Linked DNA regions of Saccharomyces cerevisiae S288C. Changing the gene in region 3 together with the main gene of any one other region gives a genetic interaction. Each region holds a gene or a part of one and is shown on either strand. Other genes may lie near its edges. The genes, in order: EAF3, PAC1 and GIM3.

Evidence for each region.
Region 1: mutations in GIM3 (region 3) and EAF3 together harm fitness more than expected from each alone (negative genetic interaction), as found in Saccharomyces cerevisiae (5 studies listed by BioGRID, with this or other methods).
Region 2: mutations in GIM3 (region 3) and PAC1 together harm fitness more than expected from each alone (negative genetic interaction), as found in Saccharomyces cerevisiae (6 studies listed by BioGRID, with this or other methods).

The regions. Positions count from the first base shown.
Region 1 is NC_001148.4:608,432-612,189, forward strand, and holds EAF3 (Eaf3p), read right to left. Parts: upstream 1,601-3,758; coding exon 395-1,600; downstream 1-394. Other genes in the region: i-AAA protease YME1, read left to right, coding at 2,050-3,758. UniProt on the Saccharomyces cerevisiae protein: Component of the NuA4 histone acetyltransferase complex which is involved in transcriptional activation of selected genes principally by acetylation of nucleosomal histone H4 and H2A. The NuA4 complex is also involved in DNA repair.
Region 2 is NC_001147.6:824,671-828,369, reverse strand, and holds PAC1 (Pac1p), read right to left. Parts: upstream 1,986-3,699; coding exon 501-1,985; downstream 1-500. Other genes in the region: VPH1 (H(+)-transporting V0 sector ATPase subunit a), read left to right, coding at 1-318; YOR268C (uncharacterized protein), read left to right, coding at 2,438-2,836; putative serine/threonine protein kinase HRK1, read left to right, coding at 3,503-3,699.
Region 3 is NC_001146.8:345,169-348,216, forward strand, and holds GIM3 (tubulin-binding prefolding complex subunit GIM3), read right to left. Parts: upstream 891-3,048; coding exon 501-890; downstream 1-500. Other genes in the region: serine/threonine protein kinase YCK2, read right to left, coding at 1-108; INN1 (Inn1p), read left to right, coding at 1,145-2,374; RPC31 (DNA-directed RNA polymerase III subunit C31), read right to left, coding at 2,598-3,048. UniProt on the Saccharomyces cerevisiae protein: Binds specifically to cytosolic chaperonin (c-CPN) and transfers target proteins to it. Binds to nascent polypeptide chain and promotes folding in an environment in which there are many competing pathways for nonnative proteins.

The DNA.
Region 1 (3,758 bases), on a different chromosome or scaffold from region 3:
TGATGCTGCTTTAATCATGTTGCATAGACCATGCAATTACACTAAAAATATAAAACAAGGAGCCCTGGACAGAACTTGGTAGTGTGCAAACGAGTAAGTGAAGATGATAGTACATTATATACGAAGCTCTTAGTAAGCTCATACTAGATGCGAAACGATGGATACGTCAGAAAAATAACAAAAATAAAATATAATCATTAATGATGTTTTAACTCGACAAGCCCCTTTCAGAGCTGCCATTACCCTAAGAACCTTGCAAAGAGAATAAACTTGAATTTCGTAAAGTGCCACGAACAGTGTCCATATTCTTACACGAGATATTCTGTGAAGAGTTATTGCATAAATACGGAAGAACTAAATACTAGAAATAATCCCAAGCTAGAATATAAACGTCTCACATACCTAAAGCCACTCCTTCGTATTGGCTAGACGTATTTACATACAGAGCATCGTCACTTCTATTTGGATCCTTGTCATTGAAGTATTCGTCCACATGCATCAACAACCAAACCAAGAAGTCTTCGGTTTGTTTGATTAAAAGCTGACAGCTTTGTAGATCCATTGTAGTAGACGAGATCAGCTCTGGTAAAACACTTATCAACCTTAACAGATGGATAGCCCCATAAATTCTAATTGGTACTAGTGGCTTTTGATCCTTCGATGATTTTTTCAGAAGTTCGTCATATTGCAGCCGTTCCAACCTATATAAAAGCATATTACCCAGGCACTTGTCAAAATACAACTTGAGACCGGCACAGTATTCGCTCAACTGTGACTGGGACCCTGGCGATTCCAATTCTTGACTCACTTCATGTTCGTATTTATTCAGTACCATCTCTACCGTCACATCAGCGGGTAGTCTGCAAATTTTTTTGTCCTTCGTTACGTATTCCCAATCGTCGACTAACACGCTCTTCAATTTTATGGGAATTTGAAGGGAAATCTTGGGGGTTGGATAGCCGGCAATATGATGTAGCATATTTGGCGATAGCGAAGAAGATCTTCTGCGGTCATCATTCCCATTTTGGTCGGATGACGAGCGCAAAGAGCTGCCAGGATGGAGGGAATTAGCGGAACTTCTTCCGCTTTTCCTGCCGCTCACTGAAGATGTTAAAAAACTCTGTGAAGTGCTCTTACTTATACTAGCATTCGAGCGGCTGTCTCCCTTTCTTTTTCCACCATTACTAGGCCCTCCCAGACTAGTGGAGAGCTTCTTTTTTTTCTGCTGTTCCAGTAACGATTTCTTAGCTTCTTTCGCCTCGTTCGCCAGTCTTTTTTTCATGGCAATATTCTCTTCATTGTAGGCCCGTATCCTATCATATCCAACCCACTCATCCCAACTCGACTTCCAGCCTTGGTAATGTATGAAAAAACACTTCCCATTAATGATCTCTTCTGGAATGCTTTCATCTTCTCCCAGCTTTTGTGGCTTTATTTCCTTAGTTGCTTGTGAACTACCACCTGGCTTGTCATTAGGAATGCTGGTATACATTTTCGAAGATGGATCCCATATTTTCAAGATCTTTGCTTCATACATAAGAGGACCATGGAATGCCAGACACCGCCCACCGAGCGCAAATTCCTGCTCCAAATCAACCATTATACGTTCTTCAATAGGGTAAATCCAGTGACGAGGCCTCACAGATGCTAATGCAAAATGCTATATGCTTTTAACGACTGTTTTGCAATATACCCTTTTACGTTTCTGGTCGGGATTTCGGATGCATCTTTATTTTCATCTTTCGTGAAATGCGATATGTGGCGATCGCCGGAGGAACGGCCCCCAATCTTCGCCACCTTTTTCTATCAGCATCGGTTGGTTAGTAATCTCGAATCACATGGTACCTCTTTCTTCGAGGAGTGGTAGCTCCTGTACGCTGTAGCGGTAGTGAAAAGGCAATATATCGGAGTTGGTGAAGTGAGTTAAATCTCTACCTTGCGTTTTTGATAAGTAAAAAGCAAGCACAGCTTAAAGGATAAACAGGATTTTATTGAAGCAATTTTTAATTATAATACATTGTGGATAGAACGAAAACAGAGACGTGATAGATGAACGTTTCAAAAATACTTGTGTCGCCCACGGTCACGACAAATGTTTTACGCATATTTGCTCCCAGGCTACCTCAAATCGGTGCTTCTTTGTTAGTTCAAAAAAAATGGGCCTTAAGATCAAAGAAGTTCTACCGTTTTTATTCTGAAAAGAATAGCGGTGAAATGCCTCCTAAGAAGGAAGCTGATAGCTCTGGAAAGGCATCCAATAAATCCACGATATCTTCAATCGACAATTCGCAACCACCACCTCCATCGAACACTAATGATAAAACCAAACAAGCGAACGTAGCTGTGTCACATGCTATGCTAGCAACTAGAGAACAAGAGGCCAATAAAGACTTAACGAGTCCTGATGCACAAGCAGCCTTTTACAAACTTCTCTTACAATCAAACTACCCGCAATACGTGGTCTCTAGGTTTGAGACCCCCGGTATTGCGTCATCGCCTGAATGCATGGAACTGTACATGGAGGCCCTGCAGAGGATAGGCAGACACTCGGAGGCTGATGCCGTTAGACAAAACCTACTGACAGCCAGCTCTGCTGGCGCAGTTAACCCATCATTGGCGTCATCTTCATCAAACCAGTCAGGTTATCATGGTAACTTTCCATCGATGTATTCTCCGCTTTATGGATCTCGCAAAGAGCCACTACATGTTGTCGTATCTGAATCAACTTTTACTGTTGTATCGAGATGGGTAAAGTGGCTGCTTGTTTTCGGTATCTTAACCTACTCTTTTTCTGAAGGTTTTAAATACATCACAGAAAATACAACGCTACTAAAGTCGTCAGAAGTAGCCGACAAATCAGTTGATGTAGCTAAGACAAATGTTAAATTTGATGATGTCTGCGGTTGTGATGAGGCCCGTGCGGAATTGGAAGAAATTGTTGATTTCCTGAAAGATCCAACTAAGTACGAGTCCTTGGGTGGTAAACTACCAAAGGGTGTACTGTTGACTGGACCTCCTGGTACAGGTAAAACTTTGTTGGCTAGGGCCACTGCCGGAGAGGCTGGTGTAGATTTTTTCTTTATGTCAGGTTCTGAATTTGATGAAGTTTACGTCGGTGTTGGTGCTAAACGTATCCGTGATTTGTTTGCTCAAGCGCGTTCTCGTGCACCAGCTATTATTTTTATTGATGAATTAGATGCCATCGGTGGTAAGCGTAATCCAAAGGACCAAGCTTACGCCAAACAAACGTTGAATCAGTTATTGGTCGAATTAGATGGTTTCTCACAAACAAGTGGAATTATTATTATTGGTGCCACAAATTTCCCTGAGGCTTTAGATAAGGCGTTAACTAGACCAGGTAGATTTGATAAGGTTGTGAATGTGGATTTGCCAGATGTTCGTGGTCGTGCTGATATTTTAAAGCATCACATGAAGAAGATTACATTGGCAGACAATGTGGATCCAACTATTATTGCGCGTGGTACCCCCGGTTTATCAGGCGCTGAGCTGGCAAATTTAGTCAACCAAGCAGCAGTTTACGCGTGTCAAAAAAATGCTGTTTCCGTTGATATGTCCCACTTCGAGTGGGCTAAGGATAAGATATTGATGGGTGCTGAGAGAAAGACTATGGTCTTAACAGATGCAGCCAGAAAGGCCACTGCTTTCCACGAGGCTGGACATGCCATTATGGCCAAATACACCAATGGTGCTACCCCGCTATACAAGGCCACGATATTGCCTAGAGGTAGGGCATTGGG
Region 2 (3,699 bases), on a different chromosome or scaffold from region 3:
TTATGGGCCTTATCATTGGCACATGCTCAATTGTCTAGTGTTTTATGGACAATGACAATTCAAATTGCCTTTGGATTTAGAGGATTTGTGGGTGTGTTTATGACGGTTGCACTTTTTGCCATGTGGTTCGCACTAACATGTGCAGTTCTTGTTTTGATGGAAGGTACATCTGCCATGCTTCATTCCTTACGTTTGCACTGGGTTGAATCTATGTCCAAGTTTTTCGTGGGTGAAGGTTTACCATACGAACCATTCGCATTTGAGTATAAAGACATGGAAGTCGCTGTTGCTAGTGCAAGCTCTTCCGCTTCAAGCTAAATTTTGAGGACTTTTAAAAAAAGCGAAACATTTAAGTACTTCATTAAATAATAAATGATGCTACTATATAGTGAGTAAACCTTATTATATACTATCAATGCTAATTCAATAAAGTATTTAAAGTATCAACCAATGCTTAAAAAGAGTCAAAAAAAAGGGAAAAAGAAATAGGAAAGCCAAACTTATCTCATGAAAACGTTAGACTTGCAATCCAATCCACCAGTGACCATCATTTGCCTTGGGGTAACGTTAGAATCGAAATCCACATCCAGGTCTAAACAGTTGACAAATCCTGTATGCAACTTTTCCCAAACGTGTAAGCACTGCCCCGTGTTCAGATCCCAACATCTGACAGATTTATCATCAGCACAAGAAAACAAGTATTGGCCTCGAATACTAATATCTCTAACCCACGAAAGATGCCCCTTCAACGTAAGAACACATCTGAAATTTGAATCTGTAGGATTCGGTATGGGTGCTCTATGGGCCATTAACGTAGGTAGAGGTATCTCCCAGATTTTTATCGTTCTATCTCTTGACGCTGAGACACAATATTGCATCCCCCAATTCTTATATCGATCCGTTGATGGTGTTCTAAACCTTATCTCCGGAGAGTCTTCGATGAAATGAATAAATTTAACTTTCTCTATGGGAAATTCATGACCCGTGCCAACACTAAGACCATTACCTGATGGCCAATGTGTTAACCTTAATGTAGTGTCATGTGAACCAGAGATGATGTAATCGCCTAGAACGTCTATGGAACGAACCCATTGGGAATGAGGCTGAAATGTTTTCAACGACCAACCATTGTGGAAGTCCCAAATTTTAACAGTTTGATCTCTGGAACAGGACGCTATATGGACATCATTATTTTTCTGCCAGATTTTTACCGCAGAGACAATATGCTCATGGCCCAATAAAGACCTAATTTGTTGGAACTTGCATTCCTCGGAGACCCACTTGAAAACATGAATCTGCAAATCTTTAGACGCGGTAACGATCACCAAATAGTTCTTCTTGCTGGAGTTCGTATAATTGGTAAATAAAACATCCATGGAGGTAATTGCCTTGGTATGACTTTGCAAGGATGCCAGAGGGATGGTGTAGTTAAATAAATCAAATGCGTATAATTTGCCATGATCTGTGGCCACAAACACTATAGGCAAATTGGGATGTAGTTTGACGGAAGTGACAGATGATTCAACATTAATTAAACAGCTTGGTAGATTTCTCGGTATCCATTTCAAAACATTATGTGCGCTGGTGCCGTTACTGGTGGTAGGTTTGAATTGTGCTAGTTCTGACACTTGAGTGTTCAAATCTTTAATCTGAGATACAAGGGTCTCTGTATTCTGCTCCAATTCAATGATTTTTTTTTGTAGTCTAACAATTGAGTTCCACTTCTTCGGTAGCAGTAATTCATCAATGTCTACCATACTTTCGTTACTGGTGTCATTGTTACTGATGAATTCTTGCCGGTCCACTGATTCTTGCAACAGAAAACCTGATAGAGTTACAATTGCATGTCGAACACTTTCGTAATCTTGAGCATGCTCATGTCGTACAGTTTGTTTGTAATTCCAATTCAAATATCGGAGGACACTTTTATCGAGTTCATTTTTCTGTGTATCTGTTAAAGGAAGCTGTTGCTGCCAGTTAGTCATTTCTATTTTTTTCTACACTTACGCACGCACAGGTGTATACCAACAACCGGACGACGAACCTAGCTGCTTTATCAATGGCTATCTGGGCGACGATGGCCCAATACTAAGATTACCTATTACGTTTACACTCGCCAAAAATAAGAAACAAGTGCAATATGCACGACTTGCAAGCTGAAAATATTTCAAAACACCCACATCCCACAGCACAAAACCAGTGCAAATTCCATAAAGGGAAGTGAATTAAATTCAATGGTAGATGAAAGCACTTTTTCAGGAACCGTTTTAAGATCTAATTGTAGTTTACCAAGATATACTAAAACGTCGTTACTCGTTTTATTTACCTACCATTAGCTAACCGTTGCCATGGCTACCGTCCGGGTCGCCAGCGGCTGCTACTGCAAAAGTTGACAACGAAAAAGAGAAAAAAAAAATTCTCGGCACGCAAGACCTGAATGGTTTTTGTTTTCCCCTTCCCATTTTTTTCTTATGGTTTTTCCAGTTTTCTAGAAGCCGGAAAAAAGGCAAGCTACAAAATGTACTACGCGGAGCCAGAATTAAAAACCACGCGGACGGGACGGGCCGTGGCTTGTGACGCCGGATCCCCGCGTATAATCCGTGTCACGCTAAAGGACAAAATCGGTTTATCCGAGCGGTTTACGGGAAGGGTCTTTTGCTATCTCGCAGTAGCGTGTGCCTGGTTATCCCAATACTACCACCACACCTGTGCTTTTTTTATCTTGTACGTGCATGTATGCGTATGTTTTCTTTTTTTCCGTTGGTGCTTATTCGCTACCGTCTCGTTGATCCATGAATCACAAACACAAGCCGGTTCTGCTTACTATACAAAATAGTCTTGTGTCTTGATTCATATATCCGTCAATAACGTAGCCTTTCTTTATTTTCCTTTCGCTCACCATACTCTTGCATTAGTGTATTTTGTCTTTTATATCGCCAATAAGTGCCCAACTCTTCTACCTGACCCCTACGTCGTCGCCGCCCCTTTTCTTTTTCTTCGCCTAGTTCTATTTGGCTATATATTTCAGAGTGACAAATCTTTAAGAGAGACAAACTGAGAATTAGCATATAGAATCATTCATACAACTGTTTACAAACAAGTAAGCCCAAGACAGTTCCCAACCGCTTAAAGAAGTTTTTCCTAGAGGGAGCAAAGTTCGTTTACATTTCACACACACAGTTTTTTTTCACTTTTTTGGGCCTCTTCCTTTTCCCGTTTTTTTCAAAAAGCTTAGAAATCTTCTTCACCTCCTATTTTTCTAGAATCGTGAAGAATTTCCAGATTTAACAGTTTTCCACTTTTTCAATAAGGAAATAGTAGGAATAATAAAAAAAGGATAGTAGTAACGATATACGTCGACTTTCCAGACTGGTCTCGAGCCGGAATTAAATACAATAGCAGCGTTTGACTACCACATTGTAGCTCCGCTAGAATTGATCGAAAACAAAAATAATAACACTAATAATTATAATAATACGGTAGAACTATTTCTCGTATAAAGATGCCTAATCTATTGTCGAGAAACCCATTCCATGGTCATCATAATGACCATCATCATGACCGTGAAAATTCGTCTAATAACCCGCCACAGTTGATCAGAAGTTCTAAATCTTTCTTAAACTTCATTGGTAGAAAACAAAGTAATGACTCACTAAGAAGCGAGAAATCTACAGATTCCATGAAATCTACCACAACCAC
Region 3 (3,048 bases):
ATTGACCAATCTAACATTGCTACGGTTAGGCATTTGTGAGTTCATTGTGTTATTATTGACAGCTAAACCAGAGTTCGTTGCTGTCAAAGGACTTTGCACTTGAGACATTTTTGGAAAACTATTTTCTTGGCTTATATGCTGTGTTCAGTAGAAACAACAAGTTTTGTCTATCAAAATGGAGAAAAAAACTTTCTAATATGATCTGCACAGAAACACGAAACACAACCACGTTCTTAAATCTCGAAAGAGAAAAACAATATCAAACGAAAGAAGTAATTTCCGTAAAGAAACTCTTTTTTTCTGTCTGAAAAAAAAGGTACTTAGGAATATATGCGGATTACAAAGGTATACAAAAAAAACTCTATCTCATACACAATAACTTAAACTTGCTTTTTATTATCATGTTCTTTACTTTTCTTTAATTTCCCTCCTGAAAAAATTAAAAATTTTTCATTACTCATTTTGTGGAGACACCCACAGCCCACACTTTAATGAGTGTTCTAACGTTCAAGGTTGATATTATCACCAAATTTAGCATACAGGATCGCCTTCAGAGCATCAAGACGGGAATCAATGTCTCTTTGCTTGTCCTCTAAAGTCTCTATTTTGTTGTCGAGACGTTCTGCGTCTTTTTCGAGCTGTGCGGTAACTTTGCTCTGTTTCATGAAGATAAAGAGGTCGCCCACCTTGTATTGCACGGGCTCATCTTCGTCAATCAATTCAATTTCTAGAGACACATCATCGAGGTACTCCTTCTCCTCCCTCTGTAAACTCAATTCCTGCGCAATGGCGTCCTTACGCATAATCAACTTCGAAAACTCGTTGATCTTTTGCTGATCTTCGAACGTTACCTGAGTGTTGTTCCTTTGTCCCTGTGGTAACAGTTCCATAATGGTCCTCTGTTAGTTTCTTGGCGTTGTGTATTCTGGTAGTTTCCGCAGGACCAAACAGAGCATAAGTCCTCTAAGTACTTAGCTTCCTGTAAAATTGTATGAAAAGCCGCCTCTGCTGATCATGAATGACGGCCTAGCGTTCCTCATATGATTTAGATAAAAACATAGAAAGGTATGTTAATAGTACGAGAGAATTCGGAGACCTTAGGTTTCACAACTGGAATTGGGTTAACTCGTTGAGTCACTGTCGAATGTCCGAAGAAGTATGGAATGGAAACCAAGGAATCCTCTCCGTATATGTGAGCAAAGCTAGAGACTTGCCTAATTTGAATAAACTGGACAAGCAAAATGTAATGCTTAGGTTGCGAATAGCTCATATGACAAGAGCCAGCAACACTCTACATCGAGCAGGTCAAAACCCTGTTTTCCATTATTTAGAAAAATTTGATATTACTCCAGAGATAAAGCCTTTAATGTACGTCGAAGTTTACTGCGATAGAAGGAAAAAATCTCCGCTGCCAATTGGAAGATGTGAAATAGACCTTTTAAATGCTATTAGAGCAGACCCGAAGGAGGGTTATTGTACCTGGTACGAACTGAAAAGAAGTGGGGATGAATTTGCTGGCACTATATTCATTGAGTTGACTTTCACTCCCAAAGTACCTCGTTTAAACAGGGACGATCTTAACAAAGAAATGGACAGGTTGGATTCATCTATGGCTATGAGGCCGATACCACCATTGCCAACAGAATCAGAGTATGACTATGTTCATGGTTCTACGATGAGACAGATTACTCCCCAGTGTGTTAGCACAAGTCACGAGGATAAGGATGAGGGACAGCCCTACAGAAATGGCAATGTTTTCTCCATGTCATCTAAATCAGATACAGCGGTATTGGCAAATAGTAATGACCCAATAATTTTACCTCCAACTTTTTCAGCATCCATGGGTACAACGTCTACATTAGAAACTAATGATACTGCTATATCAAACACTTCGAATACAAAATTCCATTTTGCCAATTTAAGGAAATTAAAGGAGAAGATAAATATATTTAAGAATCCTGATAGTTCAACAAACAACTGCCAAAATGAATCTAACAAGGTAGATATTGAGGCACTTCAAAAGGCTATTGGTGTAACTTCGTTGTCTTACGACGAAGATGATGACGATGACGACGAAAATGACGCATTTTATTCTTCCAGCCATAGAGTCTCCCACAACTATAACCAACCGCCCTTACCTCCTATACCGACCAGAGATGATATGTCCAATTATTCAAGTTCGCGCAATACGCCGTTAGTAAGAAGAGATAGACCCTCACGCCTAGATTCCTCTTCGCCTAACTCACATCCTCATCCATCAGGCCTGAATTCTCCAAAACTACCACCTCTACCGACTACTTCGAATTCCAATTTTAATTCGAGGAAGAATTCGATGTCTCCTACAAGAAAAAGACCACCTCCAAGGCTCAGCTAATGACAAGAGAAACATGCTGTTATTGTAATACTAATATTTAAATAGAATTAAGATTTTTAATGTTTACCAAGATTTTTTCTTTTTTAAATTTTATTATTTCAATATGTATACATAAATCTGTTGCGCCCTCACCGCCGATCTAAACCATAAAGAAAAATGCTAATTGTACAAATTCTGCTTTGAAGAATATCCAAAAATATGGTAAAGCGGTATAAATTTTCAACTAAAAGGCGGCCTCTTCATTTGGATCCTCTTCATCACCGTAATCATCATCGTCACCATTGTTGAAATACTTTTCAGCATTATAATCATCATCATCTTCTTCGTCTTCATCTTCTTCGAAATCATCATCCGCCAAATCATCATCTTCTCCTTCGCCTGTTTTACTTCCTTTTGCTGCCCCATCACCCGTCGACGCATCATCCACATCTTCTGCCAACTCCTTTAACTTTGCCAGCATGGATAGTCCGATGTTTTCATCTTGTAAACCTGTACCAGTAAAAACATCATCGGCATTATTAAACTTGGAGATTGCCAATAATTTTTTCTTGTTGATCCCCATTACATTGTACAATTCATTGGGAAAGAGGTTCAAATTATACGGATGATCATCAATAGAAATACCTATTTTCCTTTTTTTCAAATATTTATCGGAATATCTTTCAATGCCATCA